Cricetulus griseus: one gene and its partner. The protein of the gene in region 2 purifies or fractionates together with the protein of the main gene of each other region. This does not show direct contact. Links are inferred from orthologs where the notes say so. Each region holds a gene or a part of one and is shown on either strand. Other genes may lie near its edges. The genes, in order: interferon regulatory factor 2-binding protein 1 and Irf2.

Region 1 (4,220 bases), on a different chromosome or scaffold from region 2:
GAAGCGGACTGTGTAACCCTTTGGAGACCAAAGCGCCTGCACAACTGGAGCCGACTCGGAAAGCGCTCAGCGCCCCCTCCTTCGACAGATGAGGCCCTGGCTCCGGAGCCTTCGGTCCTCTCCTCATCCTGTGGCATGCGGGCCTCCCTTGAGGCTCGCACCCCTGGGGGAGGACAAAGTGGCTTGGAGACACCCCTTTCCAACACGGTCGCCTGCTTCCCGGTCCCTTGAAAGCATCCAATCAGAACCTCTCCGCCCCATCTCAAAAAAGCTGCTGCCTCCCTCACCCGTCATTGGCCCTGCTTGGAGGGGCGGGATTCTCAGAGAGGGCAAGACTCTTCTCTGAAACTGCTCAGCAAATCAGAGCAGCAGCAGAAAATGCTCGCCGGGGTTCTGGGCCTGGAGTTCCAGCACTGCAGCCCCGCCGCTAGGGATGCTGATGCAGGAGGGCCGCAGCCAGTCTCAAGCCAGCCTAGCTTATCGACGCTGGCCTTCTCAGGCCAGCCTAAGCTAAAATCCAAAGTCTCAACATCAGAAGGCGGGAAAAAAAAAAAAATGAATGCCCAGCACTTGTCCTCCCCAAGCATTTATGAACCCACGATCCGTCCCCTGGACCCCCGTGTTGCGAACCCAGGCGAGCCACAAGAAAGGAAGCACGCAGGGGCCAGGCGCGCGCCCACTCTTCTTTTCTTTTCTTTTCTTTTCTTTCCCGCCACTGCTTTCTGCCCAAGTCCCCTTTAAGAAGCAGCCCCGACGGGACTACATTTCCCAGAAGGCTTTGCCCGCGCGTTATGTAACTTTCCCTGCGAAGCGGCCTCTGGGGCAGAAGAAGGAGGTGGAGGCGGCGGCGGCGGCCGTTGCAGCGGCGTCGGCGGCGGCGGGGCGAGCGGCGGGGCGAGCGGCGGGAGCCCGGGGCGGCGGCGCCCGAGGCCCATCGGGGGAGCTGGAGCTGTGCATCCTGACTCACGGTGCGGACCGGAGGAGGGCGCCGACGTGCGTGCTCGCGGCTTGCCTTTTCCACGGGAGGCGGGAGTGAGGAGGAGAGAAGAGGAAAAAAAAAGAGAGAGAGAGAGAGAGAGAGAGAGAGGAAAAAAAAAAAAAAGGCTCAGGGCCCAGGGGGCGTGGAAGGGGGGCCGGGCCTGAATCCGGCGGGGAGGCCGAGCGCAGCCGAGCCGAGGCCGGACCGAGCGAGCAGCGGCTCGCACGCCCGATCCCCGGGGCCCGGCGGAGCGAACGTGGGCGGCGGGTGCACCGCGGGGGGCCCCCGGCGGCTCTCCGGGGGTTCGGGGGGGGGATCGGTGGCGCGGCGGCGGTGCGGTGTGGTGGTGGTGGGGCGCCATGGCTTCGGTGCAAGCGTCCCGCCGCCAGTGGTGCTACCTCTGCGACCTGCCCAAGATGCCTTGGGCCATGGTGTGGGACTTCAGCGAGGCCGTGTGCCGCGGGTGCGTGAATTTCGAGGGCGCCGACCGCATCGAGCTGCTCATCGACGCCGCCCGCCAGCTCAAGCGCAGCCACGTGCTCCCCGAGGGCCGCTCGCCGGGACCCCCGGCCCTCAAGCACCCGACCTCCAAGGACCTGGCCTCGGCGGGCACCCAGGGCTCCCAGTTGCCGCCCCCGCAGGCCCAGGCGCAGCCATCGGGGACCGGAGGTAGCGTCTCGGGCCCGGAGCAGCGCTACGACCGGGCCACTTCGTCGAGCCGCTTGGCGCTGCCCTCGCCGGCCCTGGAGTACACCCTGGGGTCCCGCCTGGCCAACGGGCTGAGCCGCGGCGACGAGGCGGTGGCCGAAGGGGCTCGCCGGGCCCTGCTTGGCTCCATCCCCAGCCTGATGCCCCCCGGGCTGCTGGCAGCTGCGGTGTCTGGCCTCGGAGGGCGAGCCCTGACGCTGGCACCTGGCTTGAGCCCGGCCCGTCCACTCTTCGGCTCCGATTTCGAGAAGGAGAAGCAGCAGAGGAATGCGGACTGTTTGGCAGAACTGAACGAGGCCATGCGCGGCCGGGCGGAGGAGTGGCACGGGCGCCCCAAGGCTGTGAGGGAGCAGCTACTGGCGCTGTCTGCCTGCGCCCCTTTCAACGTCCGCTTCAAGAAGGACCACGGGCTGGTGGGAAGGGTGTTCGCCTTCGATGCCACCGCCCGCCCCCCCGGCTACGAGTTCGAGCTGAAGCTCTTCACCGAGTACCCCTGCGGCTCCGGCAACGTGTACGCGGGGGTCCTGGCGGTGGCCCGCCAGATGTTCCACGATGCCCTCCGGGAGCCGGGCAAGGCCCTGGCCTCGTCGGGCTTCAAGTACCTCGAATACGAACGCCGCCACGGCTCAGGGGAATGGCGCCAGCTGGGAGAGCTGCTCACCGACGGGGTCCGCAGCTTCCGAGAGCCCGCTCCTGCCGAGGCCCTGCCTCAGCAGTACCCAGAACCGACCCCGGCTGCTCTGTGTGGCCCGCCACCTCGAGCCCCCTCCAGGAACCTGGCGCCCACGCCACGCCGGCGCAAGGCGTCCCCCGAGCCCGAGGGCGAGTCAGCCGGGAAGATGACCACGGAGGAGCAGCAGCAGCGGCACTGGGTGGCACCGGGTGGCCCCTACTCCACGGACACGCCTGGTGTGCCCTCGCCCATCGCCGCCCTCAAGAATGTGGCCGAAGCCCTGGGCCACTCACCCAAGGACCCTGGTGGGGGTGGAGGCCCGGTGCGCACAGGGGGAGCCAGCCCAGCCGCCTCCTCCACGACCCAGCCACCAAGCCAGCATCGCCTGGTGTCGCGCAACGGAGAGGCAGAGGTCAGCCCCACGGCCGGGGCTGAAGCTGTCAGCGGGGGTGGTAGCGGCACAGGGGCGACCCCTGGAGCCCCCTTGTGCTGTACCCTGTGCAGAGAGAGGCTGGAAGACACCCACTTCGTGCAGTGTCCCTCGGTACCCGGACACAAGTTCTGCTTCCCCTGCTCTCGAGAGTTCATCAAAGCTCAGGGCCCAGCTGGAGAGGTGTACTGCCCCAGCGGAGACAAGTGTCCGCTGGTGGGTTCCTCCGTTCCCTGGGCCTTCATGCAGGGCGAGATCGCTACCATCCTTGCTGGAGACATCAAGGTCAAGAAAGAAAGGGACCCCTAGGCCGCCAATGCCATCGATAGGCTACTTACCCCGCCCCCCCTAGACCACCCACCGCAGTTCTTGCGGATAAATTATTCCCTACCCCGCCCAGCCCAGTACCGCCCTAACCTGTGTATATACCCTCTTCCCCTACCCGGATGGATCCCCTAGGGTAGATGCATTGTGGGTGGGGGGAGAGCTTGTGGCTCCTGTCAGAGCAGGCGTTTGGAGTTCCTGGGTCCCTCCGATTTCCTTCTCCTTTCTTGGCTTGGCTTTTTCTGCTGTTGGTAGTTGGGGAGAGAGATGCCCCGCTTGTCCTCGAGGGGAGGTCTCCTGAGAACTCGCTCTTTATAAACGAAGCAAAAGCATTTTATTGCTCCCCTCTCCCACCCTTTCCCTCCTTCAATAAACCGAAAGATGGTTTTTTTTTTTTTTTTTTTTTTTTTTTTTAAATCCTCTCCCCTCCTTCCCCTCCTTCCCCTCCCCTTCACGGTCCCTTTAGTTGTGTGAGATGCTGCGCCCCCTTCGGGACTGGACGTGTCCTGCGAGAAGGTGGACTTCTGCTATGTGACCACGGGGTGGCGCCCTTTGTCCAGCGGGCGGCTGTTTGTAGTGTACGTTTGCTGTGCTCATTAAAAGGTGTAGTCGAGGCTGGTGTTGCAGACGATGGAACTGAGGTTCTGATAGGGTTTGACTCCCGCGTGGGGAGCGCAGACAAGCCGGGGAGTAGGTATGCGCTGTAGCTGGCCGGTACTCTGAATGTGGGAACCATCGGAGGAGGGGACAGGAAGAGGGGCACTTCCTAGACCAATTTACGTGAAGGTGTATTTCTAGGGTAACTGCCCTGGGTAGAGTAAGTTTTACTTTCCCCGGGCAAACAGGGTAACTGGAAGCAGGGTGATGGTGCCTGAGAGGCGAACACACCCGAGAAACCTATCCTGGGTTCACGTCTTTCATCTGGGGACATGGCAGCCACCCTAGAACACCCAGGAGCTAAGTAAAAGGCTCTCAGCCGCCGCGGCTGCTTCTGATGTGTGCACGGCCTTGTCCCGCACCTGTCCTGGGTGACTGATCATTAACCAGGATTTCCTGCTCGCTGACGTCACGGGGCGGGGTCTGGGGGGCCTAGGCAGGTTGTGGCA
Region 2 (4,523 bases):
TTTTAAAAATGAAGTGAAAATGTTGGAAATAAATAAAGCTTTTACTAAATAAAGCTGAGAATAAAAGGGCAGTGCCCTTGGGTATGCGAGGAAATAGATGGATTTCAAATGTTGGATATCCAAAGTTTTAAGTATTCTACTCCTAGATTTAAGTAGCTCTCACTAGTTGTGTTATATTAAATATTTGTTTAATGGAGTTTTCCAGGAGGTAGAGTAGGAGAAAAGTACAGTTATAGTTCACAGAGCTGTCAAGACTTTATGGCAATTCCTCTTTAGACTTAAGTTGCTCCAAATTTGATTACAAACCCTCGAATTTTACAGGTAAGTGAGTCTGAAACATGTGGAACTATTCCTAACTTTGGTCAACAGAAAAAAAGACAACTCATTGAGAATGAAATATGTTTAATTTTAAGAAGCAGTAACAAATCATAACAGACAAGATCTCCCGGGTTTAAGCGCAGGCCAACACCTAACTTCTTACACAAGCGAGGGTGTAAATTATAATCATTCACCAATTACAGTGAAATTCTGGACTTTGCCCCATCAATCAATAGACGTTCCAAAGTTACCCCTTAGAAGAGATGCCAACTCAAATCCTAAATATTCCATTTGCTTGAATCTGCCTTAGAAAAGACAAATTCTGAGGTTGCATCCGTTTCTATTTTTGTGACACCCCCCACTCCAGCAAAAAAGAATGAGAGCTGAGAAAATCATAGAATCCCGAACTTGTACGAGCGATTAAGTTAAACAGGGCGACCTCTGAGGCCCTGCCCTAACCAGGCAGTGTACATCTGTCTACCCTACCATCCCGTCATGCACCGTCTGTAAACAGTGGGCTAACAGACCCGTCCTGCACCTGCCCTTAAGTACCAGAAGTACAGGCTGCTAACTTCAAATGTTATTTGCAGTCAGTCGCTGTGAAAGAGCTAATAAATGACTTCAGGCTTGACGACAACCTCGGTAATTCCTGAAAATGCACAACAGGAAATGTAACTATCCTCCACCCTCCGGAGCCATTCATCAAGAGCAGCCCGGAGTCCCAGCCACAGGGAGGCCAGTGGCAGAAAGCTAACCCCAGCACCACTTTGCCTTCCTGGCACAGACGCAACCAAGGACATAGGGAGTGCCCACACCGGAGGGAGGAGGGGAGGAGGAACATGTCCCCAAGTTTCAAACACGGAGGGGTTAAGAAGGACTGCAAACGGGCCAGCAGATGAGTGATGACCTCGACTGCCAACCCCCAGGGTCTTATTTACATCCGACCTCCAAGGGTCTTGCCTCCACCGGCTGACCCGGGTGTCTCACCTGGTGCTCGAGCACAGTCCTGGCCCAGGGTTGAGGCTGCCGGCCTCCTTCACTTCCCTGCTCCTAAGGGGCAAGGGGCTGAGGGTGGCCAAGGATCCAAGACCCGGGGCCCAGCGGAGGCACCGGCTGCCGCGTCCGGGCCCTGCGCTCTCGCTAAGGCTTCCCGGGCGACTTAGGGGCGCCGGCCCCCAAGGCCGTGTGGCGGGGACTGGCCGGGCACCGCGATTGGCCGCGGCCCTCATCGCTCGCCCAGAGAACCGGGCCGGCTGGGCGGAGAGGAAGTGGCGGCTGCCGCTCTGCACCAACCATGTTCGGCCGGCGGGCGAATGTCACCCGGCGCCCGGAGCGGGTCGGAGGGCACGGGGCGGGCACTCAGATCTCCACCGCGTCCTGGAGACCCCCGAGGGCTTGCCAGGCCCCCACTCCTGCCCGCGGGGGCGCCGCTCAGTCCCCGGAGGCTCCCCGCCCCCACACCTCGCCCGTTCCGTAGCCAAGGAGGGTCGGGCCCAGCGCGCCAGGCCGGCCCGGGGGCGCCCGCGGGGACCCGGAGGCGCTCGCAGCTAGGCCGCGCCGGGGTAGGTGACCCCTGCGCACAGAGCCCTCCTGGGACGCGCCTCTCGGGAGCCTTGAGCGCTGAGACAAATTCAGTGACAAAGCCCCGAGGCCAGGCCAGGCGCTGGCCGGCGGGTAGGAGGACGCGACGTCCTTAGCGAGTGGCGGCGGCCCAGCCCCCAGGAAGCCGGGCGCGCCGGCCAGGCCCGCGCCCAGCCGCGCGCGTAGCCCGCCCGGCCCGAGTGATCGCTGGCACCCGACGCCCGTCACCCGATCCCGAGCCCCATGGGCGAGCACATCCCGGGAGCGCCTCACAGCACCCATCAAGTTTACTGTGGCCACTGCCCGGGCATGGGTATCTGGGGACCGCGGGTGCCAGTCTATTTACACCAGAGACTGCCGAGAGAGAAGGGCCGCCGGGTACCGAGAAGAACCCGGTTCCCTTCTTCGGACCTTCGGTGGCGACAGTGTCTGTAAACACACACATACATACATACACACACACACACACACACACACACACACACACACACACACACACACACGCACCCCAATATTATTTTAAATGAGGCCCGACTCCGGCGGACCTGCACCCACAACGCACGACACCTGGGGCGCAGAATCACACAGAGCAGATCTGTGTCCATGGAGCCACCTCTTCGCATCTGCAAATCCAAAAGTGAAATTAAACCTCCACTAACCTCCTCCTCCCTCTCTACCTCCTCCTCCTCCTTGCAGCCTCAGCAGCCCCAGTACCAGCAGCAACAGCAGCAGACCCTGCTTCCCCTAAAATCAGATGATCCATAACTGCGCCGACTCTTCCTCCAAAAATCGGTATTAATATTTATGAACCCCGGCATTTTCCGTCTGCAAAACATCGTGTCAAAGCATCAGGACGCACATACATACAGAGCTCCTCCTGTCCCCATCAACATGCCCTCGAGAGAAAACACACGCACAGTCACAACTATTATTTGAAAAAAATGTTACCTCTCAGTGTGCTTTTTTTCACGCTACCAATACAATCCCGCAAGGTGTAAGTGTTGTTAGGGTGTGTAAAATGGAAATGAAAGCCCGTCAGTTGAATAATCGCAGGAGCAAAACTAAAAGTTACTCCCCGGCTCGCCTGAGAACAGTCCAGATCGAAAGCAAAACAAGGAGAGGAAACTGCGAGGAGCCGAGGCTGGAAATCCCCCCACCCCCGCCCTCTCCCGGCCCCGCTCCCTCCCTCGCTCCCCCTCCGCCCTCCTCCCTCCCCGCCCTTCCTCCCCAGTGTTTGTTTCAAGCTTGTGCAACCCGGAGGTGGAGGCAGAGGGAGGGCTCCAGCCGCCAGCCGGGAGGTGCGGAAGTTCGCCGCCGCTGTTCATTGGCGGGCAGCGCGGCTTTCATCATTTCTCGGAAAAGTCAATTTCATTTTCACTTCCCCACGTCGCGGCTGCGGGGAGCAACAAGCGGTAGCGCGTGAGTGTGTGGCTCGCGCCGAGGGTCGCTCGCTTTTCACCGTGGCCACGCTGGAGAGGGGGCTCCAGAAGTGGCGGGCCAGGCGCAGGCTTGGGATCTGGCCACCAGCTAGTGGCCATGGGGAAGGAAGGAGGTACCTGTCTCTGCATCCTACCTGAAGGTGGGAAGGACCAGAGGGAGGCTGGGAAGCCTGGGGACCCTTTCTGACCTGTGTGTTAACTGTTCAGAACCTCTGTGCTCAGGCTGCACACAGAAACTTATCTTGGAGAGTCGCCCGTTGCAAAGGAATGTTAGGAACGAAGTCAGCTGAAAAGAGAGCATTACTTGCCTCTCTACTTTATTGGATCTTCTACTGGGGGTGAGTGGTGAAGGGGCAGCCTGGCACTCTGTGTGGGAGCTAGGATGATTAGAAAGGCCTTCCCCAAGTAAGTCACTCTCCAAGGCTACTTTCATGTTCCATTCTTTGCAAGATGAGATGGGCAAGGCTGTGTATTACTTAACTTAAAATGTCTTGGTTGTGGCTGGCCCTGGAGGGAAAGCTAATACTGCAAATTACTTATAGCCGAGTTCAAATTTGACCCCTTATTAGCTGGACATCCTTGGCCGCTGTCCTCCACGCTGTACAGTGGAGATGATAAAGAATTCAAGAAGAAGGCCGGGTACCTATGACAGGTGCAGCAGCTATTGCCTATTAGCTCTACTGGGCCAGCTCACTTGGAACCTCCTCTTTGGCCTTTTAACTTTAAAAGTATTTTGTTGCATTTAGTTACACCTGTTTCTTTCTTGGCTTACAGTTTCATAGTCCTTCTCTAGCCATTAGAGAAGGTCCCATCCTAGGAGATTGTAACTACCTATGTGTACACATCTGAAAGCTAATTCTACCTCCTGTTTGTCATTCCACAGACAGGAAAAGGAAGTGTACCCATGTACTTGCGGAAGGAAATAGGTGAGATTAAGGACTCTGTCTTGTCTTAAAAATAGATTTCCCTCAGGCACACATTGTCCTTTATTCCTCCCCTAATAACACTGTACAAACCTTGCTTTCATATTTTATATACATCAATAACCATGAGAGTATACAAACTTTGAGATAGTTGTCCCTCTTTATCAACTAGGCACCTAAGTTAAAAACCTCATAACCACCAGCCATTCTTTTCTTGCATACTTTTTGTGTGCATGAGTACATGTGGTGTGTGTTTGTGTGT

What was found.
Region 1: the proteins of Irf2 (region 2) and interferon regulatory factor 2-binding protein 1 purify together in Homo sapiens (affinity purification with mass spectrometry; 4 studies listed by BioGRID and IntAct, counting the BioPlex papers as one, with this or other methods). This does not show direct contact. The link is inferred for Cricetulus griseus from reciprocal best matches to the Homo sapiens genes IRF2 and IRF2BP1.

What each region holds. Positions count from the first base shown.
Region 1 is NC_048602.1:28,363,845-28,368,064, reverse strand, and holds interferon regulatory factor 2-binding protein 1, read left to right. Parts: upstream 1-1,301; 5' UTR 1,302-1,338; coding exon 1,339-3,099; 3' UTR 3,100-3,518; downstream 3,519-4,220. UniProt on the Homo sapiens protein: Acts as a transcriptional corepressor in a IRF2-dependent manner; this repression is not mediated by histone deacetylase activities. May act as an E3 ligase towards JDP2, enhancing its polyubiquitination. Represses ATF2-dependent transcriptional activation.
Region 2 is NW_023276807.1:39,912,597-39,917,119, forward strand, and holds the start of Irf2 (interferon regulatory factor 2), read right to left. Parts: upstream 3,032-4,523; 5' UTR 2,848-3,031; intron 1,479-2,847; exon of another isoform or gene 1,306-1,478; intron 1-1,305. UniProt on the Homo sapiens protein: Specifically binds to the upstream regulatory region of type I IFN and IFN-inducible MHC class I genes (the interferon consensus sequence (ICS)) and represses those genes. Also acts as an activator for several genes including H4 and IL7.